Linked DNA regions of Saccharomyces cerevisiae S288C. Changing the gene in region 3 together with the main gene of any one other region gives a genetic interaction. Each region holds a gene or a part of one and is shown on either strand. Other genes may lie near its edges.

Region 1 (8,364 bases), on a different chromosome or scaffold from region 3:
GACTTGTATTTTAGATATTGATATGCAGGGTGTCAAATCTGTCAAGGCTATCCCAGAGTTAAATGCCAGGTTTTTGTTTATTGCTCCACCATCGGTCGAGGATTTGAAAAAAAGATTAGAAGGTAGAGGTACGGAGACCGAAGAATCCATCAACAAGAGGTTAAGCGCCGCTCAAGCTGAATTGGCATATGCTGAGACAGGTGCCCATGACAAAGTTATTGTCAATGATGATTTGGACAAGGCCTACAAGGAATTGAAGGATTTTATCTTTGCAGAAAAATGATGTAGCCCTATATAGACATTACTAAGTATGTACCTGGTAGGAGAGTGCTGTCGCAAAGCGACAAAACGTCCAATTATTCAATTAATATAGTGTAAAAGTTCTCAACGGGCTTATGCTAGTTTTTTTTGTTAGTAAGCGCTACGACGACTAGAACCATCTCTTGAATTTCCAAGTGCCAAAATCAATGACCACGGATACTGTGGCCAGGAATCTGTTGGTTGGTCATCCTCAAGATCTAGACAATATCATATTGGGCCAGTATCTGATTATCTTAACTATATGCGCCCCTCTAGTTTACAAGTTTTAGTCATTGGGGGTTGGAAGGGCTGATCCCCCCTTACAATTGGCGTCGTTTAGGAGCGGGCGAGGCTCTCCTTTCTCTTACACATCTGCTAAGGTGTTTGTTACCCGAGTAATCAAGGATCAACTATGGATGAGATTTAGATTAACGTATTTAGAGCAGACGATTGTAAGAATATATTTTGTAATTTCGATTGTTTTTTGCTACTTACATTGTTTATCTTGAAATATCCAAAGTGAACACTATTACTGTTTTTTGCTCAAGAATATATTAGCCTTACAAGAACGTAAAAAACCAATCATGGTAGCAGAAGTTCAAAAACAAGCCCCACCATTTAAGAAAACCGCCGTAGTCGACGGTATCTTCGAGGAAATTTCACTGGAAAAGTATAAAGGTAAGTACGTTGTTCTAGCTTTTGTCCCATTGGCTTTTTCATTTGTCTGTCCAACTGAGATTGTTGCGTTTTCCGATGCCGCCAAGAAATTCGAAGATCAGGGCGCCCAAGTTTTATTTGCCTCCACCGACTCTGAATATTCCTTACTGGCATGGACCAACCTTCCCAGAAAAGACGGTGGATTAGGTCCAGTTAAAGTTCCTTTGCTTGCTGATAAGAATCATTCCTTATCCAGAGACTATGGCGTTTTGATTGAAAAAGAAGGTATAGCTTTAAGAGGTTTGTTCATAATCGACCCGAAGGGAATCATTAGACATATCACTATCAATGATTTATCTGTTGGCAGAAACGTCAATGAAGCTTTGAGATTAGTCGAAGGTTTCCAGTGGACTGACAAAAATGGTACAGTTTTGCCATGCAACTGGACCCCAGGAGCCGCCACCATCAAACCTGACGTTAAAGATTCCAAGGAGTATTTCAAAAATGCCAATAATTAATCTTCGCACGATAACGCTAGGCCCTATTAAATAATTAAAAATACATCACCCTATATATGATAAGAAAGATGGTTTTGTATTATTATGAAATTGACTTGAAAGAATAGTGTAACAAAAGAAAAAGAAACTGTAATTGAAGAATGATATGCATTTCTATGTGTATATTAACTTAATCATCTTTATATCCAGAAGACGCAAATGACCATTCGACGTATTTTTCCCATGCAGGTTTGTTTTCGTATAATCTGCCTGCAAGATCCAAATAACTTCCTACTGTTAACGAATCCATTGAGTATGGTTTCTCGTCTGAGGTATATTCTATCTCATACCTGAAAATATCCTTAGATTCAACAAATGAATTATGTAATTCTTGATTGATTTTTTCCAAGTCGGCGTAGAATTGGACGAAACGCGTCGGAGTGAATAACTGCGGTACATATGCAGGGCCGAGTTCGTATTTGTCTGGCATCTCAATTGGCATAGTCTTGTCATTTTTCTTTTTCTTCTTGTTTTTCTTTTCGCCCATCTTCTCGCGGTTGATCCCAACCTCGATATTACTGCTGTCCATTTCATCTTCTAGCAAAGAGTCTTCCATAATCTTATTTAGTGACTCGAAAAATTCATCCCAGGGCTTATACTCCGAAACTGCAAAATTGGAGTCATTCACTATGTCGGTGATGTTATATTCCCAGATCCTAAAGGAAGGATTGAAAGTTGGAATGACTGAACCACCTATGTTCACAATGGAATAGCGTTCAATGAGCTCTTTTCTAGTGATTGGCTTTTTCTTTTTTTTGTCCTTCTTTTCTTTCTTTTTCTTCTCATTTTCAACATTTTTTTCATCCACTCTTTCCAGCTTATTCCACACTTTCCGATAGTATGTGTCGCGGACGGTGTTCATATATGCTTCTTTGTTAGATGGTTTCGCTCCCATTAAAAAAACTTCTTTTGCCGCCATAGCGTGATCCAGAATTCTATTCAATTCAGTTTCTTCGTCCTCTTCATTACTGTCTTCTCCTTGTTGAACACGAGTGGATTGCTCCATGGCTTTCAATAACGATTTTCTAGCTTTTTTACCATCCGTTGGGATGAAGTGGTCAATATTCATGTGACCGTATAATCCTCCAATGATTATATCCCTGTATTCGTGAGTCCATAGCGTGAACTTATCGTAGCACGACTGATCGAAATTTTTTGCGATTGGAGGTACATGTCCACTTAACCATACTTTCATTCCCCTACTCCTTAGTTCTTCTAATACATAACCGAACCAAAGTAAAAGTTGGTAACCTGGTTCTTTTTTTGAATTACAATTGTCAACTAACGGATTGGCCTTGAATAAGTACAGCGTGTTAATTGACAGGACAGCAAGCTTCCCTGGAATAACTTCAGTCAAAAATGAAGCACTCCTATCAAAAGTTCTTTGCTGCTGCTGCGGAACAAAATTTTTCCAAATCCTATAATATTCTCTAGTTTGTAGAGTTGGTCCTAGTGCAAACATGTTATGTGGAAAGACATCATTGTTTCCAAGACTTGGAATGACAGACACATCAAAATCTCTTGGATCTTCTTCATTGCCAGCACTAAATAATTCTGTCATTTTATCAGCAACGATATTGTTCATATCAAAAATTTGTGCTTCTGTTCTTGGATGTTTCCGGTCATTGTCATGTCTGATATTATCACCCGTCCAAATGACAAAATCAATCTTATCTCTAAGATTTTCTTTAATCCATCTCAGAGTTTCTTCCATTAAAATAACGGGAGAATCACATCCAGACATTGCCTTCCCAAACTTGGGTGCCACATCCTTTTTTTTGCTTGGTTTTCCTGTGTGACAAACTGCATCAATAGAGCTTCCTTCCACATAATAAGGGTCAGGATGAATATCGGTAATATGAAGGAACCGTCCATGTAATTTTCTCTCCTTCCCTGTCTTTACGTCTTTGATAATTACTGGCTCCCTAGGTGTCAGTCCTAGCCTTGTAAATTCTATGTCATTGAGCAATTGAAGTGACTCGTTGTCCCCCCTGTCATCTAAGAATTTGGAGAAAACGGAAACATATTGAAATTTAGCACCAATTATAAACACGAGGAAAAACAAAACACAGGTCGACAGGATGGCAATCAATGATTTCTTCTTCGGCCTACTCATGCTTACATTGCGCACTTCACTCTTACCCACTACAACCATCGAAAAGCAGCTAACTAGCTCTACCCCTACTCAATGAAAACAATAGCTGGAGACAAGGAGATCAAAAAAACTTTATAATTCTCCAACCCAACAACCAAAAAAAATATTGATCTGTTGATTTTAGCCTTCTTCTGACTTGTATTCTACCATAAAACCCTTTACACTCTCAAATGAATCTTGGTAATTAAAAGTGCAATATAACTTTAAAGGTGCTAAATTCTAATAACGACATATGTCCTCAATAGTCGGGTAATGGTCATATTTGTCCTCTACCGTACGAAGGGAGCATATTATGCATCCTGCTCGAAACGCTCAGAGAAGGGCCGCACAGGTGGGCAGATCACATTTCCTCTTTCGGCTATAAACCACGTCCTAATTTGGACATGACGCGCGCCAAAAACCCGGAATGGTAAACATCAGACGCGCTTTCCGTGCAGGGATACGTCGGTATTTTTAATATCAATGCTGAATTGGGTTAATAGCATGAGACATTTCAGCCAGATTTTTCGTTTACTCATTGTTTATTTGTTTGATCTGGATCACACAGATGAATGTTTATAAATATATATATGGCGTCCTCCCGATCTTGCCAACGTAGATTATAATTCGTATTATCTTCTTCTTTACCCTCGCCAGCCAGTGTAACTAGCATTTGTAGGGAAATAACAATAACACAAAATATCGTATATATATAACATGGAAAGCAGAAATACCGTGCTTCCTTCTTTACCAAACATTATTACAGGTACTTCTAATTCGCCTTTCCAACTGCATACTTTGCCAAATACAAACTTCCCTAGTGATGACCAAGGTGACATCAGGTTGCCACCATTAGCTGCATCTGCGCACATTGTGAGACCAGTGGTAAATATTTATAAAAGTCCTTGCGATGAGGAAAGGCCAAAAAGGAAAAGTCCACAGGCTGTGGATTTCTTATCACAACGTGTAACCACTTCCATGACGCCTTTATCCAAGCCCAAGAAGCTGAGCTCTCATTCACCATTCACGCCAACGGTCAGAGTCTGTTCTAAAGAGCAGCCACCTCAGAGTATGCACTCTTATAAAAAAGTTAATATTCTTACTCCTCTATCTGCTGCAAAGGCTGTTCTCACACCAACCACAAGAAAAGAAAAGAAAAGGTCATTTGCCTTTATTACACACTCACAGGAAACTTTTCCAAAGAAGGAGCCTAAGATAGACAATGCTCGGTTAGCTCGTCGGAAAAGAAGAAGAACTTCATCATATGAGCTTGGGATATTGCAAACAGCATTTGACGAATGTCCCACGCCCAATAAGGCTAAAAGGATAGAGTTATCCGAGCAATGTAATATGTCCGAAAAATCGGTTCAAATATGGTTTCAGAACAAAAGGCAGGCTGCTAAAAAGCACAAGAACAGTGGCAACACCAGCCATTGCAAAGTTCACTCTAATGATTCGATGTCTATGATATCTTACTCAGACGCTGCGTTGGAAATTACCTCTACGCCAACGAGTACGAAGGAGGCTATTACTGCAGAGTTGCTGAAAACTTCACCTGCCAATACGTCCTCGATCTTCGAAGACCACCACATAACGCCTTGCAAGCCCGGCGGACAGCTCAAGTTCCACAGGAAATCTGTGCTTGTTAAGAGAACATTATCAAATACCGGTCATAGCGAGATTATCAAAAGTCCTAAAGGCAAGGAAAACCGCCTAAAGTTCAATGCATACGAAAGAAAACCCCTTGGGGAGGTCGATCTCAATTCTTTCAAAAACTAATCTTTCTCAGTGTTTATTTTCTTGAGCACTGATGCTATCAATATTAACAAAAACTACACAAAGTAATGACTGAGACTACACCAACGTTTTTTTTTAGATTTAAAGCGGCCTGTTTCATAAATCTATATAGAGATGTAATATTATATTCTTTCAAGGGTCCATTTATCCCTGAAACCCTGTACAAAAAAAAGGCAAGTTGAAATTATGGTCACAAAATTAATTTTCTTTTCTTTATTTATTTTAAAAAAAAGTCAATTAGGAAGTGCTATGGAAATATATGTACTCGTACAAAAAAGATTAAGCTTGAATAATCTTATCAGTTTAAGCTCTTCTTCTACCAGTGGTCTTGGTGTGTTGACCTCTAACACGCAAACCCCAGAAGTGTCTGATACCACGATGAGCTCTGATTTTCTTTAATCTTTCCAAGTCATCTCTCAATTTGGATTCGACGTTGTTAGCCAAAGTGTGGTAGTCCTTACCATCAGTGATGTCATTTTGACGGTTCAAGAACCAAGCTGGGATTTTGTAGTGAGTTGGGTTTTGCATAATTTGAACAATTCTTTCCAATTCTTCTTGGGTCAATTCACCAGCTCTCTTGTGTAAATCAACATCAGCCTTCTTACAGACCAAGTTGGAGTAACGACGACCAACACCCTTGATAGTGGTCAAAGCGTAAACGATCTTAATGTTACCGTCAACGTTAGTGTTCAACAAACTGCGTAAAAAAATTTAGACGGGAAACCGAACTTATTGATAAACGTTAGTAAAAAATGTGCATAATGGATTTCACGGCCAAGACAAAAATCGGAGCAGGATATAAAATTTTAGTGTTGGTTGGTCAATATCCGCCAATAGCTGATTCATTGTAAAGCATTCCCGGTACTTTACCTCCGACCGCTATTGCAATGTTCCGTAATTATGTGCGCTTATGCCAAATTCATGTTCCTTTTTGATGCATAAACCATAAATTTGTTCATCAGCCTTATTATTACGTTCTTAGTCCAGCCCGGGAACATCATTATTATATTTAATCACGTCGTTAGCGAATAATCGCCACGATTAAAGAGGTGAATGAATTTCCTTTCTTGTCTGTCATATTTTTAAGTTTTTAGCCGATTTTGTCATAGCTCACTAGTAATAATAAACATACCGTAAAATGTGTTGGAAGGAACCTTGTTCTTGGACAACTAAAGACATCTTTTATCCGCTCTTGTGTATACGTTCACTAGTATCTCAACGTTTAAAAACTCTACTAATAACATGTAGAGCTATCTTCAATTAACCCTAGCTTTGACAATACTTAGTGGTCGAATGACAGATGTGTCCGACCTGGCTGGGGCGACATTTGCTCTCCCGGGCATGATCTTGGGATGGGCATATGGGACTGGGAAAGGCATCTTTCGGAATCGCAGTTCCCCTGAGCGCGCGTCTCCGCAAGGAAACACCATATGCCGCTTCAAATTTCTAAAAGCAGCATGTAGAATATTTTCAGATAGCATGCATGGGTGCGTAATGTACGGATGTTTAATGTCTTTTTAATCATTGAAATTAAATGTACTTTTTTGTTGCCAGACACGAAACTGTACGCCAGTAAGTGATGTGGATGCTATTTTAAAAAAGTTTTGGATATAATGGCCTGCTGTTCCTAAAATATACTAGAATTAATAATATCGTTCTCAATTTATGCTCATGGGCCGTTTAAAAAAAATACTTTGTAAAAGTTAATTTAAGGTATTGACTGCACAAGTGACAAATTATAACCACATCTCTATTGAAACACTTGCCGTGATCAAGATTATATTATACATGTATGCTATTTAATTTTTTCAAGTCCTATTTTTACTTGTTTTCAGGTGCAAAACTGCTTTAGCGCAATACCGGTAAGAATAACGAAAAAAACTTGTAGTATCAGTACTTTATGCTGCGGGTGATAAAGTTCGATGCGTCAAAATATTACTATATCGTTAACATTATGAGCTTTTACGCGAAGTGGCTAGGTTCTATTTTGTGCTTTTCCTGCGCTGTCAGATATAAGCTTCATTAAGTGATGGGAATCCGAACACGCTTTTTCATCCGGGTATTCTCTTGAAAATTTTTTAGAAAGATCTGGGCGATGAGCTAAATATCAGGAACACACAGTGAACGTGAATAAACACATATCTAAGGGCATAACATTGTGAAATTGACCAGAGATACACACATCACCGATTTCTAATAATGTCGAAGACAAGATACTATTTGGAACAATGTATTCCTGAAATGGATGACTTGGTGGAGAAAGGACTATTCACTAAAAATGAAGTTTCATTAATTATGAAGAAAAGAACTGATTTTGAGCATAGATTAAATTCCAGAGGGTCTAGCATAAATGACTATATAAAATACATTAACTATGAAAGTAACGTCAATAAATTACGTGCCAAGCGGTGTAAGAGAATCTTACAGGTTAAAAAGACGAACAGTCTATCTGATTGGTCTATTCAACAAAGAATAGGTTTTATTTATCAAAGAGGAACGAACAAATTTCCACAAGATTTAAAGTTTTGGGCAATGTATTTGAACTACATGAAAGCGAGAGGTAACCAAACATCATACAAAAAAATTCACAACATTTATAATCAGCTTCTAAAGTTGCACCCAACGAATGTGGACATTTGGATTAGTTGTGCGAAATACGAATATGAAGTTCATGCTAACTTCAAGAGTTGTAGAAATATTTTTCAGAATGGGTTGAGGTTTAACCCTGATGTGCCTAAGCTATGGTATGAATATGTAAAATTCGAGCTGAATTTCATCACTAAGTTGATTAACAGAAGAAAAGTGATGGGTTTAATCAATGAAAGAGAGCAGGAGCTCGACATGCAAAATGAACAAAAGAATAACCAAGCCCCCGACGAAGAAAAATCTCATTTACAAGTTCCATCCACTGGTGATTCA
Region 2 (7,385 bases), on a different chromosome or scaffold from region 3:
TTTGCTGTAGTGAGCGACAGGGTAGCAAATTTTTGGACCCTTAACCCCTTATACAAATTACCACCATATGTTCCTTTTCTGCAGCGAAAACCTCGGTGTTGTCAGAAACAATTTAAGAAAAGCACAGGCGAAATTGGGCTTGCACTGGGTGATCAACAATGCCAGAAATAAATGAGAAGCTTTTTACTCTTGCTTTTGCTTCTTCCTCTTTATGTTCAAGCCAGCCAAGCTATGTTATAGTGTTGAATGTCTTGAACCGTTATAGTTTCTAAAAATAACTTTACATTTTGTTATGCAATCTTCATCATCTCGAACTTTTCAACAAACGTTCAACAGTGATGGTCTTCCCCAGTGAACCAAAAGACATATGACGCTCGTATGGTATGTTAAAAACAACATAGAGGATAGTAGGTCGGGGTTTATTGTAGAAAGGACATAAATAGTTGACGTGGTAAATTTTCATCAACTAAAGCCACATCTATTTTGCCAAGTAGGAGATAATGTAATATGTAGAGGGATCGAGATTTACTGAAGCCTCACGTGAGGGCAATCTGGAATCAGATTGCACTGGTTTGCACCATACCTCTCAAAGAAGAAAACGTACTACTTTTTTAGTTGAGTATGGATAGGGTAGTGTTTCCTAAAGTTATAAGGTAAAAGGGGCAGAGGAAAAGTCGATAATAATTTGAAAGAAACTTGCTTCCATATTCACAAAGGAGCTGGATACTTCATGTCATCCGCACATATATCTACAAAAATTTCAACTTTTTGAGGTTGATACTAAGTCTTTCGCTACCAAAATGAAAGAAATCAATTTGGAGAGACTTAGGCTGAATATTTCCGCGTTCTCTCTGGGGATGAAAGATTTCTTACTGCAAAGAGTTTCAGTATTTACGGATTGGTTACAATTTTTTTTTTTTATCATAATCAATTCTTTGAATATCAACTTCTCTCAATACCATCCGCCTCTCAGCGGCTACAATTACGTAATTGCACCAAGGCCTTCGCCGAGAGTTTACATATTTGCAGACCCTAACAGTATACGACTCCCAACACACGTTTAATGTTGTACGAATTCAAGAGATAGAAATATTTCTTGCATGGAAGCCGTTTAGAGCAGACTGAATATGGGCTTAGACAATAAGCTTCTGTACGAGGGTCCAAATCTAAAATTCGGATATTCTTTTTGACCGAAAAAGGAAATGTCACAGGCACAGAAAAGGGTTTTATAAGGCACCTCGGCACCCTATAATTGGCATTCCCACATTCTGCGCATACGAATACACATGAGTGCCATAAAACAATACTCCACATACGAAGTCTATGAAAGATGTATGATTCGTTCAGAAACAAGGTCATCTCCATAGAGATAATGAGATTGTGTGAAAGATGAGATATGGAGGATATGTGAGGTGCTAAATGAGCACCTGTTAACGAATCGTTTAAGTAGTGATGACTGATGAAGGCATGGGTATAAATAGAGCTGCTTCAACTGTATGTCTTTGAGAATATGTTTTTATTCCTTTCTTTCCTGTTAAGCTTATATCAGCACTAAAAAACAAAACAAATATAATGGTCAAATTAACTTCAATCGCTGCTGGTGTCGCCGCCATCGCTGCTGGTGTTGCCGCTGCCCCAGCCACTACCACTCTATCTCCATCTGACGAAAGAGTTAACTTGGTCGAATTGGGTGTTTACGTCTCCGATATCAGAGCTCATTTGGCCCAATACTACTTGTTTCAAGCAGCTCATCCAAGTGAGACCTACCCAGTTGAAATTGCTGAAGCTGTTTTCAACTATGGTGACTTCACCACCATGTTGACTGGTATTCCAGCTGAACAAGTCACCAGAGTTATCACTGGTGTTCCATGGTACTCTACCAGATTGAGACCAGCTATCTCCAGTGCTCTATCTAAGGACGGTATTTACACTGCTATTCCAAAATAGAGACATGCCTTTACGAATGAGATTCCATAGACATTGAAAGTAACGAAAAAATGAAATAAAAAATGCTTTCAATATAAATACAGCTGATTACATATAAACATATATTAATATTATAAATTCATTTGCTTTCACGAACTACCGGCTGGGCGTCAATATAATAGGGAACGCATAGTTGCTCTTTTATCTTTCTCACAACTAGGGGTTTTTTTATGTGAGCTGTACGGAATAGGCCAGTTTTACAACAGGATTCGTAGATCAGAATCCGTTCAAGCTATTCACCTGTTACAGCAGTAGAGTTGCTCTTGTCTTGACCCGTGAATATTAAATACTGTAGAACCAGAACGGATACTTGAATATATTCAACGATGGGAAAATAAAAAGACATATAAGAAAAATGTGCTAGTACGGTAAGGAGGATACTGAAAAGAAAAGGAAAATATAGTTTAAAATAGTAAAGATAACCCACTTTCGTTATGGGTTTAGTGAGGGTTGGTAACGAACCGTAGCGCGGTGTAGTATGCTGTGAATAATTGTACTTTAGCATAGTTAACATTACAATCTTTGTACGTTTATATAACAAATATGATAGAGTATGAGAAAAATTAAATGATACATTTTGAGGTTAAGGTTGAAACTATTATATGGAAGAAAGGTGGAATATAGTTAGGGCCAAAATGACACTATAAATGACATGATGTGAGCCTTAGTAAGGTGAGAGCTACGCTTCCTGGTTTAAATCAAAACCGAGAGCCCAAAATATTATCGGTATCGACGTAACATTTCAATGTCATTCAAGCTTAAAGGAGATCAGCGCAAATGCGTGAAGTCTTAGTCATTGTAAATGCGATTTTTCTTTGTTGAAGGTGAAGTCGGAAAATTCACATGACTGCAAAAAAATCCTAGTCTACAGTATGGTAACCAAAAAATGCTATATATACATATGTCCTGCATGAAAGAGAGGGCGAGTTTTCAGTTTGACAAGCTTTCTCTTATTGCTGCTATTCCTCTCTTTTGTTTGCCATTTTCAAAATTTGTTTTGTCTAACCATTCTTCAAAGGTTTTACGAATGCGTAACCATTCTTTATCGATTATTGAAAACCATTGAGTGTCGCGAGTGCGACCCTTATATACCACCACTTGTCGAAACGTGCCTTCATACTTAAAGCCTAAGCGCATCGCTGCCCTCCTTGACGGCCCATTTAAACTATCACACTTCCACTCATATCTCCTGTATTGAAGATCATCAAATACATACTTCATTAACAGAAATTGAGCTTCAGTTGCAATAATCGTCTTCTGTAATTCTGGTGAAAAAACAACATATCCAACTTCTAGTGAACCGTTGGCTTCATCGATTCTTATTAAGCACAATGTACCAACGGCACGTTCAGTCTCTTTATTAATAATTGCGAAAGGCACAGTATCTTTAGTTTCATTGAGTTCCTTAATGAATTCTAGATATTCCTCCAAGTTAGTGAATGGTCCCGCAGGTAAATACGTCCATAATTTTTGGCCTGCCTCACTATAGGCACTAAAAAGTTCCGAACCATGTCTTTCTCTATCTAGAGGTTCTAGTCTGCAAGTGTTACCTTTCAATACAACTTTCTCTGGGAAGGCCCTTGTTGTCCAACCTTCGACGTCAGCACCAACTTCTTGCCCAAATATATTTAAATTCGCCATAATTGTTTCTACTGAAGGGCATTATTTCCAGGTTCAGAGGCGGGAAAATTCTTGCAAGGCGTCCTCCCATGCTATTTTTATATCATTGTTGATTGTTTATCAACCTCTTATCAACCTCCTATCAACCTTTGAAGAATGGCTCAAAAAAAAAACAACCTTCCATTATGAACCAATAAACAGAGCAAATATCACGTGCACAAAGAACTACGAACTTTTTGACTTTCACACTGGCGATGATCCAAGACGTATTACAGTACAAGAGATCTGCTTTATTGTAAGCCCAGTAAACAGCTTCTTATAGACTCTGCAAATATAGGTACAGAGTTTGCATAATTTTCTAATATACACTTATGCCTTATGATAATCCCAATTTTGAGAAGGAGACAAATTCAGCGAGTGGCGTATAAGTGCGTGCGCTATTGAAACAAATCTCACATAAATGTGTTTATGATCAGCAATAACCTTATCGATGCAACAGAAAATGTGATTCGCGAAATTTGCATCTTTCTTTTCAAAAAATATTTCAAAAACAAATTGCCAAGAGATGATGAAAACAAATCACTCAATTCAAGTTAAATAAGAACTCGTGTATATATAGAAAATATGAGGAAATGTACTCCATTTCAACTGCTTGACTTTAAAATGATGCTGGCTCATGAGAAGCCTCCAAGAAATAATATCGGTGTTACTATTCCAATACTTTCGATCCGCTCTGTGCTAAATAGGCAAACTCAAAAGTAATAAATACATACACATATTACGGAGATTTGTGCCTTTAAGGAATATAAATTATAATTATCTGCTAGTTTACATTTTAATGGCTCCAAACATTTATTTTCTAGAAGTGCTCCTTAATAAACAATAATCTTAAAAGAATAATTATGGAGCGTGTCCGGTTGTAATTAATACTCAGTAATTATATATAATTTGAGAATTATGCTCGTGTGCATTTTCTTCCAATATATTATACTCTGAACCATGTCGTGCTGTGTGCATAAAATTGCTCGATGAAAATCTTAACCCACCTTTTAGGTTGAAAAAAACATGTTCACTTTTTCACTAAAGACTTGTTACCACGGATTGTGCTTCTTTAACGTATGGCCATAGCTCAACGTTCAACGAAGCAAACCACATAGTTTTTTTTAAAGATAAAAGGCGATAGAAAAAGCAGCTAAAAAACCATTCACAGTCAAGTCCATCGTAGAAAAACTCTTCATTATTCCAGACTTTTTTCTCAAACAAATACCTATTCATTTTCTTTGCAATTTCGTCCCATCCATTCGCACCGCTTTCTTGCTCATTTATAATAGTTGACAAGAACTGCATCTTGTGTTCCATTTTAACGGATAAAACAATCATTCCCATATTTTGGAAATCTCTCGTCATGATAAAAAACATTACTACCGGAAACAAGAAACGTGATATAAGGTCAACATTTCCAGACGTGTAGACAATTAAAAAATAATAAAGGAAGACTTGTAAACACCGCAGCTTGAAAATCCTTTTAAGAATCCAGGTAAGCTTAAATCGGTAAGCTTCTTTGGGAAGTTTAGCATCTTCTAGGCCAACAGGGCTCCATGATTTTTCAGTATTAAACAACTTCCATTGTTTTTCAACTTCTGTAAAATAAACTCCCAATGCTTCTTCAATGTAAGAGACGGAATCCTTAAATGACTTAACCTTGGCAGCTTCGTCTTTTTTCAAAGAGAAGGGTTCGAGAAGGGTTGTTCTGAACGCTTCTTGGCAGCCCATGGCATTGAAGAAAAAGTACCTAGTATTCCAAGCCTTATTTTCATATAAGTACGAATTTAGATTTGCTGCAACGATTTCCCAATTATGAGTATCCAAACTTGGTGCGTTTTTAGTAATATCTTTGCAAAACTGAGTGAGTTGTTTCGATAAGGAGCGCTTACGAGAAGGTTCACGAATAACAAGGAGAAATATTGGTCCCAAAACCAGGACAAGAAGTGAAACTATAAATTGGTAAACCCAATTGTTGGAAAGTTTCCATCAGATGCTAAGTGGTAGCCATAATAGCATCCAGATGCGAAACGCTAAAGACTTGTAAATTTCATAACAAAACCAGGTCAATTCGTTTCGGAAAACATCCTGGGGTAAAACAGTCTTTTGGGATTCGAGCTGTTTGAAGGATAACACATCTACGCTTTTCTCATCTTTGACTTCATTCTCTTTCATTTGGTAGTGAGATGGCAGTTCGAGGTTTTTTTATTCAAAGTAATAACTTCTTCCTTTTCGCTTTTATGTAGCAGAAAAAAAAGCCGCCGAAGCGCGCGCGTTCGTGCAATCTCATGATAGAAAAAGGGCAACAATGTTGGGCTATTTTAGACAAAGAAACTCAGCTATTCGAAAAGGGCATCCATTTCATTTCCGGTTTTCTATCTAAGTTACTCGATAGTCGTAATAATACTTTTATAAAACTTTAATGCGGGTACTTTGAGAGCGTGTCATAACTTTGGCTTACGTTTTAAGGTGCGACCGGCAATGTCACTGCTCGCACAGCAGTTGCCGCCTGAAATGAAACACATATTTAAGCGTAGATTGCCTGTGAGAAAACTGTGTAAACATATAGTAGAAAATAGACGTAGCTGTCACAAATATTTACACGGGAAAGAGTCTGGCCTACGAGTATCTTACATGAAGATTCATAGAACCAATTTATTTCCCTATATTGATAACCTTTCGATACCATTTTAATGCCTTCTCCTTATGTTTGTTGTCACTGTAAAACGGATCAAAGCAAAAACTTAGAGGTATGGTGGTACTCAGATCATGCATGACCTCTGGGTAATTACCACTTCTCCCGCTTGTTTTGAGATTCTGTATATAAATATTGCAAACAAAAGGATAGAGCGCAAATGACAGACCTTATAGTATAAATTGTTCGTTTAATCATGCGTCAGTGTGAGATTCCATGACAATAGTATGGGAAGATAGGGCGAAGTGAAAATATCTGTATGACTATAGAGTGCAGTTATATTACAATATATTAAATAGAGCATAGTGGTACGACGATATTAAGGAACTTTTACATTAATGACGTCATGGTAGTGCTCATACTTCAAGTCAAAGTGTTTATTTCGTAAAGTTGAAAGGTAAAATATTTTTATGTTTAGGTGATTTTAGTGGTAATTTTTCTGTAATATTGACATAAGTTTATAAAAATTGAGTGGTTAGTATATGGCGTAAAAGTGGTATAATGTATGCATTAAGAGCAGTTATACAATATTTGGAGCCGCTGAATGAGATATAGATATTAAAATGTGGATAATCGTGAGCTTTATGGGTAAATGGCACAGGGTATAGACCGCTGAGGCAAGTACCGTGCACAATGATGTGAGTGCATTTGTACTGATTTAGTGAGAGATGGGCCATGGAGTGGAGTGGAATGTGAGAGTAGGGTAAGTTTGAGAGTGGTATATACTGTAGCATCCGTGTGCGTATGCCCTATCAGTATACAATTAAAGGTGAGTATGGCATGTGGTGGTGGGATTAGAGTGGTAGGGTAAGTATGTGTGTATTATTTACGATCATTTGTTAACGTTTCAATATGGTGGGTAGAACAACAGTATAGTGAGTAGCAGATGGTGGATGGTAGGGTAATGGTAGGGTAAGTGGCAGTGGGGTTGGATATGGGTAATTGGAGGGTAACGGTTATGGTGGACGGTGGGTTGGTGGTAGTACGTAGAGAGATGGATTGTGGTTCGGAGTGGTATGGTTGAATGGAACAGGGTAACAAG
Region 3 (8,023 bases):
TCCGTTGACAATACGGCGGCTTCCATGAAGACAGGCAAGTACCCAAAATTAGAGAACTATAGGCAGTATTCTGATGCACAACCAATACGTCACGAAGCGCTTGCATTGAAAGTGGACGAAACGAAAGATTCTAGACACAAATTTAGTTCCTCTAACGGGGAGAATAGTGGAGTGGAAAATGGAGGCTATGTGGAGAAAACGAATATATCCACAAGTGGCCGCATGGATTTTGAAGGTGAAGCAGAAGCAGAAGCAGTGAAACGTTACCAGTTAAGATCTTTCGCGCTTTTAAGTTCTAATGCGAGGCCATCCAGGCTAGCAAAGTCTGAAACTCACCAAAAGCAGATTCATGTAGAGAGCATCGCTCCCTCTTTGCCAAAGAATGCGGCTTTAGAGAGAGGCCATGATACGGCGTTACCTGCCGGTACGTCAAGTAACAGATGCAACTTAGAAGCCTCCTCCTCGGCAAGAACTTTTACAAGCGCTCGTAAGGCTTCGCTAGTTAGCGCAATCTTTGAAACATCGGCTGAATCAGAGCATGGTACGCATCCCAAACAGGCGAAACTTAAGAGAAGAACCTATTCTACAATATCGACACATTCATCAGTCAATCCTACAACGTTGTTGACAAGAACTGCATCGCAAAAGTCCGATATGGGAAATGACACACGAAGAATTAAACCGTTACGTATGGATAGCAGGGTATCTTTCCATAGTGAGATATCGCAAGCATCCAGGGATTCTCAAGAAACAGAAGAAGACGTTTGTTTTCCAATGTTTCGACTATTACATACAAGAGTTAATGGTGTTGATTTTGATGAGTTGGAAGAATATGCCCAGATTTCAAATGCTGAAAGAAATCTGTCTTTGGCGAACCATCAAAGGCACAGTGAACGAACATACAATCATACCGACCAAGATACTGGATTTACTAACTCTGCTTCCACTTCAGGATCCTCAGCAGCTCTGAAATATACACCTGAAATTTCACGGACTCTTGAAAAAAATTGCAGCGTTAATGAGATGTACGTATCTGAAAACAATGAATCTGTGAGGGAAGATGATAAACCTGATCTACACCCTGACGTAACATTTGGTAGAAATAAGATTGAAGGTGAAAAAGAAGGAAATGATTCGAGTTATAGCCGGGCGTATTATACCCTCCAAAATACAGAATATCAAATTCCTAGTAGATTTTCGTTCTTCCGCTCTGAATCTGATGAAACTGTGCATGCTAGTGATATCCCTTCTTTGATATCCGAGGGACAGACGTTTTATGAGTTATTCAAGGGAGGCGATCCAACGTGGTGGTTGGATTGCAGTTGTCCAACTGATGATGAAATGCGTTGCATAGCAAAAACATTTGGAATCCATCCTTTGACCGCGGAAGATATCAGGATGCAAGAAACGCGTGAAAAGGTAGAGCTTTTCAAATCCTATTACTTTGTCTGTTTCCATACATTTGAAAATGATAAAGAATCGGAGAATTATCTTGAACCTATAAATGTTTACATCGTTGTTTTTAGGTCAGGTGTCTTGACTTTTCATTTTGACCCAATATCACACTGTGCCAATGTAAGAAGACGTGTAAGACAATTACGTGACTATGTCAGTGTCAATTCAGATTGGTTATGTTATGCTTTAATCGATGATATCACAGATAGTTTTGCTCCGGTTATTCAATCCATCGAGTATGAAGCTGATTCGATTGATGATTCAGTGTTTATGACCCGTGATATGGATTTTGCAGCCATGTTACAAAGGATTGGTGAAAGTAGGCGTAAGACAATGACGCTGATGAGACTCTTGAGCGGTAAAGCAGATGTTATCAAAATGTTCGCCAAAAGATGTCAAGATGAAACTAATGGTATTGGGCCAGTGCTTAAATCTCAAACTAACATGGTGAACTTACAAGCGGAACAAGAGAATGTGAACCAGAATAATAGTAATAACCAAATAAGCTTATCAAATAGCTATATGCAAACAACATCACAACCAAGGGGAGATATTGCTTTATACTTAGGTGATATTCAGGATCATTTGTTGACGATGTTTCAAAATTTATTGGCGTACGAAAAGATTTTTTCTAGATCACATGCAAACTACCTGGCCCAATTACAAGTGGAATCATTTAACTCTAATAATAAAGTTACAGAAATGTTGGGTAAAGTTACTATGTTAGGTACAATGTTAGTTCCATTAAATGTTATTACTGGTCTGTTCGGTATGAATGTAAAAGTTCCAGGAAGAAATGGAAGTATTGCGTGGTGGTATGGAATTTTGGGGGTACTGCTTTTACTAGCTGTCATAAGCTGGTTTTTAGCTAGCTATTGGATCAAAAAAATAGACCCACCTGCAACGCTCAACGAAGCCGCAGGTAGTGGGGCCAAATCAGTCATATCTAGTTTTTTACCGAAAAGAGATAAAAGATTTAACGATGATTCTAAAAATGGCAATGCGAGAGTTGGCGTTCGAAGGAAATCAACTGTCAGTCTACCCAGTAGATATAGCCGTTACAATTAACATGACCGCTATGGTAGGTCGGCAGATCTTTAGCAGGCAGAATAAAAGTCTGCCGAACAACAAGTTCCTGAATTTTGAAAATTTTTGGCACATTGGTTGACTGCTTTTAAAGCATTTTTTTGATATGAGGGCACAAAAATATGACGCTTCACTTAAAGTTTCTCATATTCTGACACACTTCAGTGATTTTTTAAATCACATTGCATATTTATACCGTAAAAGTTGTAGAGTTAGTTTTCTTTATGTAGGCCAATAAAATAAATTTGCTTGAGCTGCATTACTAGCAACATAATTGACCAATTTATACGTTTAGTTTTAACATCATCACAATGGTGTATAAAAAAAATTGGTACCGAACCATGATATAACAGACTTCTGATCAGAAGTACGAAGTAAAACCAGAGAACATTACCAAAAACTTTTATGATGTATCTATATTGTTAAATAAACGAAGCCTGACAGTGGAACTGCGCTTTTTTTATCTTCCTTACCATGACTACCATTTATGAGCGGAATAATCATATCATTTTTACGAAAGCACCGCCTAAACTCAAAAATGGAAATTAGTACAGGCGTATTAAACCAAGAAAATAGAAGCTGTCGCGATACTTATTTACAAAATAAATCTACGTGGCCACATACACATGAAAACCACAATAAACTTCTTGCGTTAGTAAATAACTATAATTTGTATGCCTGGTCAGATTTCTACAGACAGCAAAGACTCCAATAAGCGCTAAATAAAAAGTCAGCATTTTGAATAATCATAGACAAGAACTCTTTTGTCGGAACAATTTACGTATTATTTTTCGAAACATTTCTTTCCCAGATAACATTGAAAACAGAATTTTGAAAGAAATTGCCGAAACCGAAACAGGATAACAAGATTAAACGATGCTATAAACCCCACTGGTAGTATGCAGAATACCTCTTTTTACCCCTTTAAGAGACATGGCATACATATTCCACAATGTGCACTAAGGAGAGTCAACTGCTCACAAAAATGTTAGTCATTATAGAACACCTTGTGAAATTTCGATCGATATCAAAAACCCACACATTTTGTAGACTTTATATGGGGAGAAACTATCGCTCTATCCCGCCGCCTCCCTAAATTCCAATATCCAGACTTTTATGCTTTTCAAATCATGCCATCTAATACTAAAAAGCGCAGGCGTTGTGCGCTTGGTTTGTGTAAGTTAACCAAAAAAGTTAAAAGTATAAGTCTTCTGCATCAAACTAACAGAAAAAAAATTTTTTTTACACTTGAAATGGTTATTGTCTGCTTATTGTGAAGTACGAACATCCTAACAAACGTTGTATGTTGCTTTCTGCGTTTTTCCTTACAGTGCTAGCGTAGAGAATATGAAAAAGAGGGAAATTAAGCAACTGCTTTTTCTATGATTTACCACTGTGAGCCCAAAACTTAACGTGCACCAACACGTGTGCGGCAACCTGGCTGGCCTCTCAATGTAGAAGTAACTGGTTTTCTTCTTGCCCTTTATTTTCTTGTTTTTTAGAACCAATCTCGAGCACTTGGATAATGCAAAACAAATACAATCTATGTCTTCCACACCATCATTTTACTATGCCTGCCACCATACATTTGTCTTTTGCACCATATCTTCATAACCTGTCACCTTGAAACTAAAAAAATATTCACAATGGTGCATGCTTGAAGCACAAACTAGATTAATTTGTTGAGTAAATCATGTGGTTCCAAGGAACAAAAAAAAAAATGCATTACATCACGTTCCTTGCTCTGTATCTCTTCACCTGCAATTACTCAAAAGAAAAAAAGAAATATAATTTTCCTTTGAGCACCCTTGGTAACTTATCTAAGAACACGCGATGTAATCGAAATTTAATAACCTAAAAAAGAAATAGAGATCGGTGACGTTTGACGCTAGCCAATCTCCACGAGATTTATCTGGAAGGGCATCACCCGTCAAAACACTAAGAAATTTGACACCTTATTTTTTTTTCTCCGAAACGTTCTGAGACGTTTCTTTTTTTTTCAGGACGCCACCCTAAATCCGAAAAACCTTACTTGGCATTAGTGTTGTAAAAATTTCTTTTTTCCATCGTGGTTCTGAAAAGCTTGCAGAAAAAAAGTTCGAGAACGTTTTCGTATGACTTATTAAGCTGCCCTTGAACTTGCCTTCCCTCTTCTTTACTATTTTCAGCCAGGGACAGAAATAAAGCAAAATCGTTTAACTTTTATGACCGTAACAGGTAACAATATCTGCTCAATTCGGTTAGTAAAAAAAAAAAGGTTATCGTAGGTTTACTATTTTCACATCGGTGCATAGAATCTATACTCTACTTCCTTTGGAGGGAATTTAGTAGTGCTCGATTAGCAGATAACAGCGCAGGGTTCTATGTAGTACGAAGCACTATCAGGTTTTTTAACGTACGTGAGTTGTTTTTTGTTTCTAATTTTTGGCTTGCCTGGGATAAACGGTGCCCATCAAATTATTAAGACCTGGTGAAAAGAGCGTACCTACATGGGTATCGGGGTTTTTGCCAGAAAGAGCTTTAACTGCAATTGATGCCTACCGGAGATTATTTTGATATCAAAATGCAGGAACGATATCTACTTCCCTAAAGCAGAAAACAAAACATTTTTTTAAAAGTCTTTCTTATATAAAGGTAACCTTCATTTCATGATAGCCAGATGATAATCTTAATGTAACAATTGGAGGATACCAGCATCCCTCCACACCTTCAAATGTCTATACCCCATTCCGTATTTTCGGCACTCTTGGTCTTCGTGGCGCTAGCTACTACAACCTTAGCCAGTACAGAAGCTTGCTTACCAACAAACAAAAGGGAAGATGGTATGAATATTAATTTTTATGAGTACACAATAGGCGACCAAACCACATACTTGGAGCCTGAATATATGGGCTATGAATACTCCAATACAAAGAAGTTAGGTTCCGTTAGCGGACAGACCAATCTCTCCATATACTATAGTCCGCCTTGTGAGAGCACTCCTACCTGTGTGACTTATGCAGTTTTGAAGCGTGATGAGGATGGATATGATCCTTGCGGACCTCTTTATGAAACTAAAAAACGTGACACTGAATACTGTGACCCAAATACTGCCTATTGGAGTTCTGATCTTTTTGGTTTCTATACTACTCCAACTAATGTAACTGTGGAAATGACAGGGTACTTAATATGGAGTATGGGCAACCGACGCCGTTGAACCTCTCCTTGGAGATTCTGATAATTTTATGACCATGACTTCTCGTGCACCTTACAGGAAACTTTAATGGCCTGATAAGTACAGCTATATTGTGATCACAATTATTAAAAACTAACTCATTTCATCTATAACCAAGTACAAATCGCACGACTATCATGACGATAAAAGCGTATATCCTTGATTTAATTCACATCACAATCACCCCCCTTGAAAAAAAAATAAATTTTTTTTCTTGCTATAATAGCATAATTGTCCACAAGTTCACTATTAGTGCTATCATTCTTCCCCACTGCCGCAAAATTGCAAAGGAAATAATTGTTTGCCCTGCAGGAACCATATACTAAAGAAGAAATAGATGCTATTAGCCTCTTCAACTGTCCGTAATCACTACATCTTGAAAGGTAAAATGCAAGTAGCAATGTGTTTACTTAAGGAAGCGCATCTACATCTTCTTTAGAACCATCTGTCGATTCAAGCGGATTAGAAAGAGGAAGCGTGATAAGCGCACACTGACACTTTGTCGTAAACTTATCAACTAATGTGCTATCACAATGCTTAAGAGAGAAGACAAATTTGGATATATCGAACAAAAAATTCCAAGCCTCCGACTCTGCATTTTGATCGTACTGATTCACAACATCTACCAATGCGTCGGCTATTTCTAGTGCTTTCACTGATATCCCTGGACCGTGAACTGCATAAAGATTTTTTGGGATTAAAAATGTGTCTTCTAACATGTCTCTAGCAATTTCTACTGGAATATGCGTATTCTTGCTATTTGAAAGGAAACTGATTCGCATACCGCTTATTTGAAGCACTAGCTTCCAAGCAAGTGTTCTAATCCAATGCCGTGAAAAAGATATGTCTACATAGCCGTAAGACCATGGTTCTATCTCAAGTGGCACCGTATGAAGTTCCCTCCATATCTTTTTAAGGGAGTCTTCAGTACAGGTTACATTAGCAGAGTCGGTAGCTAGAGCATCAAAGAAGCATTTTCCCGGTACAGTAAATACCCTAATCATCTCCAAGAAGCTGTCGAGAGATAGTCGGGGGTCCGTTACGTTCTCCGGTTGTGGTGGAGCAATCGTGGTATCCAGGCTCGTGGCGCAATGCGTATACACAGAAAAGTATCTTTCCGTTAAGAGAAGCAAATAATAAACTTTCCTTCCAAGCTGCTGCTCATCGAAAGGAAGAAGTTTCAAAGTTTCCTCGCGATGGAACCCCGCCAACTTAATGAGCCCCACGGCTTCACAAGAAAGCCGATACGAAGTTCTTGAGTTGGACATCTGTGCGTAGCAGCGGTTTAGACAATAGTACGTCATAATCTTGAATATATCACTACCGTTAAAATCGTCAAATTCTTGGCGTGATGACATGCAGAAACTGGATAACTGTATCCCAGTAAAGGTAACCCCTCCTTCCGACTCAATTTCAGTCTGCAAATCGCTAAGCGTGGCGGCAGAAAGAGATACCAGGAACCAATACACACAGGTTTCGTCATATCTTTTCTCTAAAAGTTCGTAAAGATCATCATAACACAGCAAAGGCCAGATCACATACAACTTATCATTATAGAGCCGCAGACACTGATCAATTAGTGCCTTTGGAACCTTCATTATGCCACCACTACTACTTTTACTAAATACCTGTACATCATCTACTTTCTTTAAATTTCTCACCTTGACGGGTTTTGGACCTCTTTTCTTCAAAGGTCGAAGATATGTACATTGCAGATTGTGTTGAAGACAACATTTACATGGTTTTTTACGATCACACTTTACTCGACGAATGCAACAACAGTCGCACGCTTGTCTATTGCGGGCCATCTTCGAACTAGAGCTCTTTTACTTTAGCTCTTTTGACAAGACAATGAAGCATTTCTTGAAGGTTTTCTTCTTTTCTCCGTATTTAAGTCAACAAGATATAGCTAATTTATTAAGCCGGGGGTGGGGAAAAACGCGGTAGTAACGTGGGGTACTTTAAAGTGGGGGAGATGGCACAGACAAAGCCGCAGGTACCTCGAGAACTCAGGGGAAAAAGGAACGCAGTTCAATAAGCTACCGATTTGGCAGATCTCAGGAGTAAAAATATAAATCTTAGTGCACATACAAGTGATAACTGCAACTCCAGATTTTTCTTTCGGTCGATTCGTTGATGCAACAATGTCGAAATTATAGTTAGGCGTTTGTTCCTGTAATTTAACTTCAAGTGGAGGAGTCAATGTTCTTTCCTATGTTCTATTTGTGGGATAGAAAAGTTAAAAAGAAGGTTTTTGAGTATCCCAGT
Region 4 (8,730 bases), on a different chromosome or scaffold from region 3:
TTGCAGTAGTATCATTCCCGGCTGCTTCCAAGTTGGCGAGCCGCAAGACTCAATGCCGCTGTATATTTTTACTGGGAAACAGGTTTGAGTGTTCACAGATTGAAATTTTTATTAATACCTATTAAAGTGAAATACTGACAGATACTATGTACATGTAGGGGTAAGTTGGTGTATGGTGTGTACAGCCAGGAGCAGCTCCATCTATAGCAAGCTTGAAGAGTACATATGGACGCTTAGTAACGTCTGGTTAGGCCGGTCTCTCGATAAAACCGCGAACCCGTTTCTTTCCCCCTGCCAGTCCTCTCTGTTAAGAGTTGAAGCCAGTTTAGTGATGCCGCCCAGTACTTCTATCGTATAATCTCCAAAAAGTGTGTATAGTTCGCTTACAGAGGGCATTTTCGATGAAATATCCGCGAACCCCAAGGCGCTCACTGATCCAGCATCTAAAATCGAAATACTCCCATGGTTGTGGTGGGATAGCGAGTCCAGAGTGTACTGGTCAAAGCATATCTCTGTAAACAAATCGTGGAATGGCACTATCGAGTTTTCTCCGACGGTCATGAGTAGACATTTCTGCCGGTTGCTTCCTTCGAACGGGTACACTAGTTTCTGAGTGATATCCATTTTAGTAAAAGCTTTCCCGACACCCTTTCCGAAGATTCTGCCGACCATTTCCCCAAATCCCAGTCCTACCATTTTTTCCATATCAGCATCGCTATTCAGCTTATTTTCCTGCAGATACTTCAGAAGATAGCCCCAAGCGGTGAGTAGTAGGACAATAAAGTTCAGCGCACAAGAAGTTATTTTCAAAGGACCCTTCCACTTAAATGGTGCGCAGTTGAAAAGAAACTGCATGGTTTGAATTATGTTAGTAGCAGTATTCAAAGCGGTTTCCGCTTTGTTTTGTGGTTGCGGTGCGGCAGTCACAGTTGTGATTTCGGTGATTGTTGACGTAGTAAATACAGTTGTTACATCGACCGAGTGACAAAGTACGGTTAGGGAGGTAACCAACGCAAGGAAAAGGACGGTTGTCCTTGATTCTCTGGAGTAAAGCATGATCTCGCGCACGCTCTTGCTATTGACAGCCTCGTTGTATCAACTTGTGTTTAGGAAAGGAGGCAGAATAAAGATTAAAAATGGAAGAAAAGACTCAATGGTTCCAGCGAAACAAAGATGCTTGAAAAAAAAAATAATTCAGAAACGAGTCTCTTGTCAGGAAAGCAGTGTCAGGAAAACAGTGTCTGTTCTATAGTTTGTGTTGTGTCCCTCAAGCACTTTTGTTGTTAAAAAACCTTGCTAAAGTTTTGTACAGGTTTATACCGTTGTGCAAAAACTGCTGCTAGGATAACTGAACAGTTGTTTCTGTGGCAGATGTCGTGAATAGGCGCCTTTATTTTAAGGGTCCAGTGATTCGCGATGTGAATAAATACGCGCGCCGCTCTCGAAGGAACCTTTTGAGGCTGCTTCTGTCGATAAGAAGGCTTGGCAAAGGCCTTTGCTTTACTGCTTCTTTCCCGCCTTTTTGGTGCATTGGGTTAATTGATGAATATGCGTAAAATTTAAATCAGACTATGAAAACATATATAACAACTATTACAAGAGGGAAGTGGTAGTCTACTTGAAGAGGCGCGCCAGAAGAAAACGGTGGTAAGTACGAAGTTATGTGTAGACTAACTTGCTCGTTAAAAGTATTTCGTCAGCCGTGCCAAACAGTTCGAACTATCGGAACTTCTGACGGTTCACTGATGTACAAAAGTTGAGAGCCATTTTCGTAACCGGCTTTTTGTCCCATGCTCAGAAGGATGCATTGGTACGGTCACTTCGATATTCCTTCTCTGTGAGTGGAGCCAGAGCTTTTTGTTAGTTTCTAGTTCTGTTGCTGTGCGAGACTCACGAACAAGTAGTAGCCGGCATGGTTTAGATGGTTCTGGCACGGTAAGCTGAGGAGCGCTATTATGGTTGCGGGTAGTACAGTCATTAGAAGGTGGAATAGATTCCTTGCATATGTCTATCAGTGCCTGAAACGCCCTCTCAATGAGGGAGGTGCCAGGACTCAAAATTAAGGATTGTTCGGCGGGATGCGGTAAGCCTTCGTATACTAGGTTGTTGGACGGAAAAATCTGATACGGCTTGATCTGAATGTTAGGATCGACCTTACTGTCTAAAGTATCGAGAGTGATGTTTCCTTTTCGGTTTAAAGACTTCTTCTCGCCGACATCGAGAGAAAAATGAATGTGATCAAGAACCAGATCTATTTCTCTTTGTGTGTTTTTCCAGGGACAAAAAATGGAGTAGGGCTCAATCCTCTGGAAACCTTCGTATTTGTATTGGTATGAATAAAAACGGCACTCTGCTTCCTCCATAAGTTGGTCGTAGCTGGGCATTGTATCGAAGTTGAAGGGTCTCTTCCAGAATGGAATACTTTTATTTGAGGGATTGTAGTACCTTCTGGGCTCAGATTGTTCGTCTAAAAGCAGGTATTGAACAGCTATCATCTTGCGCTCAAATTTAAATTCGAGGGAATCGTAGTCAATGTTCTTTGTACTTCTCAGAAAGAGTGGACAGTATTTTCCCATTTTGCTTTCAAACCAGTTCTGTGGCCTGTCAAGGTACTGTTGCATGTATGAAGGAACTACAGTAGTCAACGTGTGGTTAGACTGGGAAAATTCCGCTGCGGACCCGACGCTGCAGCTTATATTTTGATTGCGGGGAGCAGGAGCGCAGGCATCTTGTTTAGATTTTTGGCTTGGATAATGTTTGTGGTGATCAGTGGAATTTATTGGGCAGTAAATTTCAGTTGGAATGATAGATTCATTCGTCTCTTTTGTTCTGGAGTCCTTGGTGCGGCGGAAATCAAAGCAAGTCACTTCTGCGTTAAGCGATGCGAAATTGCCGTCTGGAAATGACGATATGTGGGGAGAATGAGGAGGATTCCATGACGAATAAACTGATGAGGATGTGCTAACAGATGAGGTTAGTGAGGGTACCGATTCGTTGTTTTCTGACGCAGAGTCTGTTGTGGGAGATGTGGTAGCGTTATTTCTTTGCACAAGAGAAGGTGGGAGCATAGCACGGTTGTGGGAGGAGGAAGAAAGCATTACGTTGCAACTATCATTTACGGAGTGGGATAAGAGGTAGGAGGTTGTCATAGCGGTGCTTTCTTCCTGGTGCATGGCAGAAGACGTTGGCAGTAATTCGTTTATTATGGTGACATTGTCGTGATTAGAAAGGACTGTCTCTTTTACCATTGCCTCGGGTATGTTTTTTGACGCTTGCCCTGAACTTACTCCAGAGCAAGCCTCAGTAGAAGAATGACCGGAATGATTCCTCTTATACACGTTCCAGAGCGGAGCATTCTTGACATCATAAAAAAAGTTGCTGACAGGATCTTTGGACTGGTTGACGTTAAGTGGTTCCGTAGCTGGTCTGATGTTTTCTTGTACGGTATCACTGACGGCTGAGAAACCTTCAGAGGAACCGCTTTCGGGAACAGACTTGGAGGATTGCAAATTAAGCCATTGAAAGTCTAGCCCAACCTTGTTGCAAAAGGCCTTGAACTCCTGGAAAGATGTAGACATTATGTGGGCGAAAAACAAAATTAGACCAACGCTTTAGCAAATTTTTTCAACCTCAAATTGATATTTGAAGATTAGATCGGATGGTTTTTTTTCCTGTGGTGTAGGCCAAGCTTAAACAAGGTTTTAAGTGAAAGTGGAAATAATTGTGATAAACATGCGGAAAGAGTGCCAGCCTTAAATAATTCCGCATTGTTGCTATGTCGTTTTGTTTTTGTTTTTGTTTTCGTCTTATTGGTATTTGTTCATTTTACGACCACAAAGGATCCAGGGCTTCTACTTGCACAGGGAGGGTTGCTTGGTTAATACAATACAAACGTCAGAGATATTAAGATTTGTAAAGGGTGCATTCAATGAGTTTTTCCTCAATGTGCCCTAGAAAGGAAGTAGTACGAACATTTCTCAGTCGGAGTTTGCCGGAAATTCGAATGACAGTGTAAGTTGAGTTTTGTGGCACAGGGATAATGAGCGGTGGTGCTGGCACACAGTAGTGACGTTGGTTTGGTAGTGTGGAGGGACGGTGGAAAACAGATAACAGTGGTCTCTTGGCCCAGTTGGTTAAGGCACCGTGCTAATAACGCGGGGATCAGCGGTTCGATCCCGCTAGAGACCATTCTTTTTTTTTGCATTGGCAATGTGATTTATAAAAGTTTTCTTAGTCCAGATTGTAAAAATGTTAGATGGGACTACAGTGCACGTACGCAGTCATTAGGACATAGGCACTGGCTCGTCTTACTGTGTAAATAAAAACTACTTAAGTTCGAGAATCTCAAATTAACTTCTAGAGCATGGCTAGTTATTCTTTAGTTGAATCGAATTCTTTCGGGTCAGAAAATTGGTGTCTTAAGTTACAGCCTAGTTATAAACATGGTCTTTTAACTGGATTAAGTAATGGCGAAATACGTTTGCTAGACTGGAGTACTGGTAAATCAGTACAAAAGATTAAGGCGAGCGAAACTGCAATCAATGATATGAAGGTCATCGGTAGCGACTTCTCTGCTGGTCATCTAGTTAGTAGCGCCTCTATCGACGCGGTGAAAGTTTTCGATATAAGGACGAATGACCGCATTGCTCAAATTCAAAACGAGGCCAACTCCCCCTTTATTTCCTTAGATTCTCGTCATGGTCTATTGGCCTGTGGTACCGAATTGCAGGGAATTGACGCTGCTGTATACATATATGATATTCGCAAATGGGACACTCCATTGAGATCATTAATTGACTCTCACCATGATGACGTTACCTGTATTAAATTTCATCCTTCTGACGTCAATATTTTGCTCAGTGGTTCAACTGATGGTTACACGAACATTTATGACTTGAAACAAGATGAGGAGGAGGACGCTTTACACCAAGTTATTAATTATGCGTCAATACATTCCTGTGGATGGTTGTCCCCAAAGAGGATATTTACACTATCACATATGGAAACATTTGCAATTCACGAATTGAACGACAAATCTGACGAATTGAAAGAGCCACAACCCTTGGACTTTGGTGATGTAAGAGAAATATGGAACTGTGACTACGTGGTAGATATTTACCCTGGACTCATTGCAACCGGTAAAACCCAAGAAAATTGTGGAGAGTTGTGCCTCCTACCATTTAAAGATGAGAAGGTGGATACTGAAAACGGTATTGTTATCCCACACGCCCATGGAGACGAGGTCGTCAGAGATATTTTTATACCAGCACAACATAGCAACATGTTATACTCCTGTGGTGAAGATGGTTGCGTTAAAATTTGGGAAAACAAACAGGGGCCGTTAGATATTCCAGAAAATTTTTGGGATTACTCTAAAAAAATGAACGTCTTAGGAGATGACGACAGAGAAGGTTCCATTAATTTAGACGAACCTCTTATTATTCAAAAAGAATCGGTTTCCACGAGGCCAAGGAAGGAGAAACACAAGAAAGCCAAGAAACATTCCATGAAAAGTCGTTTCAAACCATACTAGTTTCATAAAGACAATACATCTAAAGAGATGCCTAACATCTGCAAGAGATTTCGGCAGAACTACTCTATAACTTAAAAAACGAAGCATACATTCCAAACAAGTTGATACTTCTAGATCATAGTTTATCTTCATAGGGCTTCTTTTGTTGGTACAATGTTATAACAACTATATTTCTGCTATATAGAGTATTAATGCATTTTTTTTTTTTATCTCCAGCATTAAACGTGCACGCTTCTATAAGGTGGAAAAAAAATACTAGAAAAGGAATAAGTGAAACACCACGTTGATGGTGAAAAAATATAAAGGGGCGAGCTGGGAATTGAACCCAGGGCCTCTCGCATGCTTTGTCTTCCTGTTTAGGCAGGAAGTCGCCCAAAGCGAGAATCATACCACTAGACCACACGCCCGATTATTTTATGGTGATTTCTGTCTCACAGGAAATTGTTATCAAAGGATAAATAGCATATTTGTCTTAAAGAAGGTTTTATAAATAGACATGCAGAATGTACTTATCAGTGGTATTGGAATGTGTTGGAATAAAAATCAACTATCATCTACTAACTAGTATTTACGTTACTAGTATATTATCATATACGGTGTTAGAAGATGACGCAAATGATGAGAAATAGTCATCTAAATTAGTGGAAGCTGAAACGCAAGGATTGATAATGTAATAGGATCAATGAATATTAACATATAAAATGATGATAATAATATTTATAGAATTGTATAGAATTGCAGATTCCCTTTTATGGATTCCTAAATCCTCGAGGAGAACTTCTAGTATATCTACATACCTAATATTATTGCCTTATAAAAAATGGAATCCCAACAATTACATCAAAATCCACATTTTTCTTCATGGTAGCGCCTATGCTTCGGTTACTTCTAAGGAAGTCCCATCAAATCAAGATCCGTTAGCCGTTTCAGCTTCCAATTTACCGGAATTTGATAGAGATTCCACTAAGGTTAATTCTCAACAAGAGACAACACCTGGGACATCAGCTGTTCCAGAGAACCATCATCATGTCTCTCCTCAACCTGCTTCAGTACCACCTCCACAGAATGGACAGTACCAACAGCACGGCATGATGACCCCAAACAAAGCTATGGCCTCTAACTGGGCACATTACCAACAACCATCTATGATGACGTGTTCACATTATCAAACGTCACCTGCGTATTATCAACCGGACCCACACTATCCGTTGCCACGGTATATCCCACCACTGAGTACTTCCTCACCTGATCCAATCGATTTAAAAAATCAACACTCTGAAATACCTCAAGCTAAGACAAAGGTGGGAAATAACGTCTTACCACCACACACTTTAACATCAGAAGAAAACTTTTCTACATGGGTTAAATTTTACATCAGATTTTTGAAGAACTCTAATCTCGGTGACATCATTCCAAATGACCAGGGTGAAATCAAAAGACAAATGACTTATGAAGAACATGCGTATATATACAATACCTTCCAAGCATTTGCCCCATTTCATTTATTGCCAACATGGGTAAAACAAATTTTAGAAATTAATTATGCTGACATCCTTACAGTCCTTTGTAAAAGTGTGTCCAAAATGCAAACTAACAATCAAGAATTAAAGGATTGGATAGCTCTTGCCAACCTTGAGTACGACGGAAGTACATCTGCTGATACATTTGAAATTACAGTCAGTACGATCATTCAGAGGCTAAAAGAAAACAATATCAATGTTAGCGACAGATTGGCCTGTCAACTAATACTTAAAGGTCTATCCGGTGACTTCAAATACCTACGTAATCAATATCGTACCAAAACGAACATGAAACTTTCCCAATTATTCGCTGAAATTCAGTTAATATATGACGAAAATAAAATCATGAATCTAAATAAACCGTCCCAATACAAACAACACAGCGAATACAAAAATGTTTCTCGCACATCTCCAAACACGACTAACACAAAGGTTACAACTCGTAATTATCAGAGAACAAATAGTTCAAAACCAAGAGCAGCAAAAGCTCACAATATTGCTACATCTAGTAAATTCTCAAGGGTGAACAATGATCACATTAATGAATCAACCGTTTCATCACAATACTTAAGCGATGACAACGAACTTAGTCTTAGGCCAGCAACAGAAAGAATCTAAGCCAACACACACAGTAGACTCGAATGACGAACTACCTGATCACCTTCTTATTGATTCAGGAGCTTCGCAAACGCTTGTCAGATCAGCCCATTATTTACACCATGCAACACCCAATTCTGAAATAAACATAGTCGATGCTCAAAAACAAGACATTCCTATAAATGCCATTGGTAATCTTCACTTCAACTTTCAGAACGGCACCAAAACATCAATAAAAGCACTACACACACCAAACATAGCCTATGATCTATTAAGTTTGAGTGAGCTGGCTAATCAAAATATTACTGCCTGCTTTACCAGAAACACTTTAGAAAGATCGGATGGTACAGTACTAGCTCCCATAGTCAAACATGGAGACTTTTACTGGTTATCTAAAAAATACCTAATTCCTTCGCACATTTCAAAGCTAACAATAAACAACGTCAACAAAAGCAAAAGCGTAAATAAATATCCATATCCGTTAATACATCGAATGCTTGGACATGCTAACTTCCGAAGTATTCAGAAGTCTCTTAAGAAGAATGCAGTTACATATTTGAAGGAATCGGATATTGAATGGTCTAACGCTAGCACATATCAATGTCCTGACTGTCTAATCGGCAAAAGCACGAAACATAGACATGTCAAAGGATCACGACTAAAGTACCAAGAATCATATGAGCCTTTTCAGTACTTGCATACCGATATATTTGGTCCTGTACATCACTTACCGAAAAGTGCACCTTCTTACTTTATATCGTTTACAGATGAGAAAACCAGATTCCAATGGGTGTACCCATTACACGACCGTCGTGAAGAATCTATCCTCAATGTTTTTACATCGATATTAGCATTTATTAAGAACCAATTCAATGCTCGCGTTCTAGTTATCCAGATGGATCGTGGCTCCGAGTACACTAACAAAACTCTTCATAAGTTCTTTACGAACAGAGGTATTACTGCATGCTATACAACCACGGCAGATTCTAGAGCACACGGTGTCGCTGAACGATTAAATCGTACTTTATTAAACGATTGTCGCACACTGCTTCATTGCAGTGGTCTACCAAATCATCTATG

Evidence for each region.
Region 1: mutations in YFL051C (region 3) and YHP1 together harm fitness more than expected from each alone (negative genetic interaction), as found in Saccharomyces cerevisiae (one large-scale study listed by BioGRID).
Region 2: mutations in YFL051C (region 3) and YIR042C together harm fitness more than expected from each alone (negative genetic interaction), as found in Saccharomyces cerevisiae (one large-scale study listed by BioGRID).
Region 4: mutations in YFL051C (region 3) and YNL035C together harm fitness more than expected from each alone (negative genetic interaction), as found in Saccharomyces cerevisiae (one large-scale study listed by BioGRID).

What each region holds. Positions count from the first base shown.
Region 1 is NC_001136.10:1,358,183-1,366,546, reverse strand, and holds YHP1 (Yhp1p), read left to right. Parts: upstream 1-4,365; coding exon 4,366-5,427; downstream 5,428-8,364. Other genes in the region: GUK1 (guanylate kinase), read left to right, coding at 1-283; thioredoxin peroxidase TSA2, read left to right, coding at 885-1,475; PPN1 (endopolyphosphatase), read right to left, coding at 1,645-3,669; 40S ribosomal protein uS13 RPS18A, read right to left, coding at 5,749-6,142, 6,578-6,624; snoRNA-binding rRNA-processing protein UTP6, read left to right, coding at 7,645-8,364.
Region 2 is NC_001141.2:432,357-439,741, forward strand, and holds YIR042C (uncharacterized protein), read right to left. Parts: upstream 3,628-7,385; coding exon 2,917-3,627; downstream 1-2,916. Other genes in the region: seripauperin PAU15, read left to right, coding at 1,573-1,947.
Region 3 is NC_001138.5:27,772-35,794, reverse strand, and holds YFL051C (uncharacterized protein), read left to right. Parts: upstream 1-5,254; coding exon 5,255-5,737; downstream 5,738-8,023. Other genes in the region: putative Mg(2+) transporter ALR2, read left to right, coding at 1-2,523; ZNF1 (DNA-binding domain containing protein), read right to left, coding at 6,166-7,563.
Region 4 is NC_001146.8:565,325-574,054, reverse strand, and holds YNL035C (uncharacterized protein), read left to right. Parts: upstream 1-4,363; coding exon 4,364-5,533; downstream 5,534-8,730. Other genes in the region: YNL033W (uncharacterized protein), read right to left, coding at 202-1,056; YNL034W (uncharacterized protein), read right to left, coding at 1,740-3,578.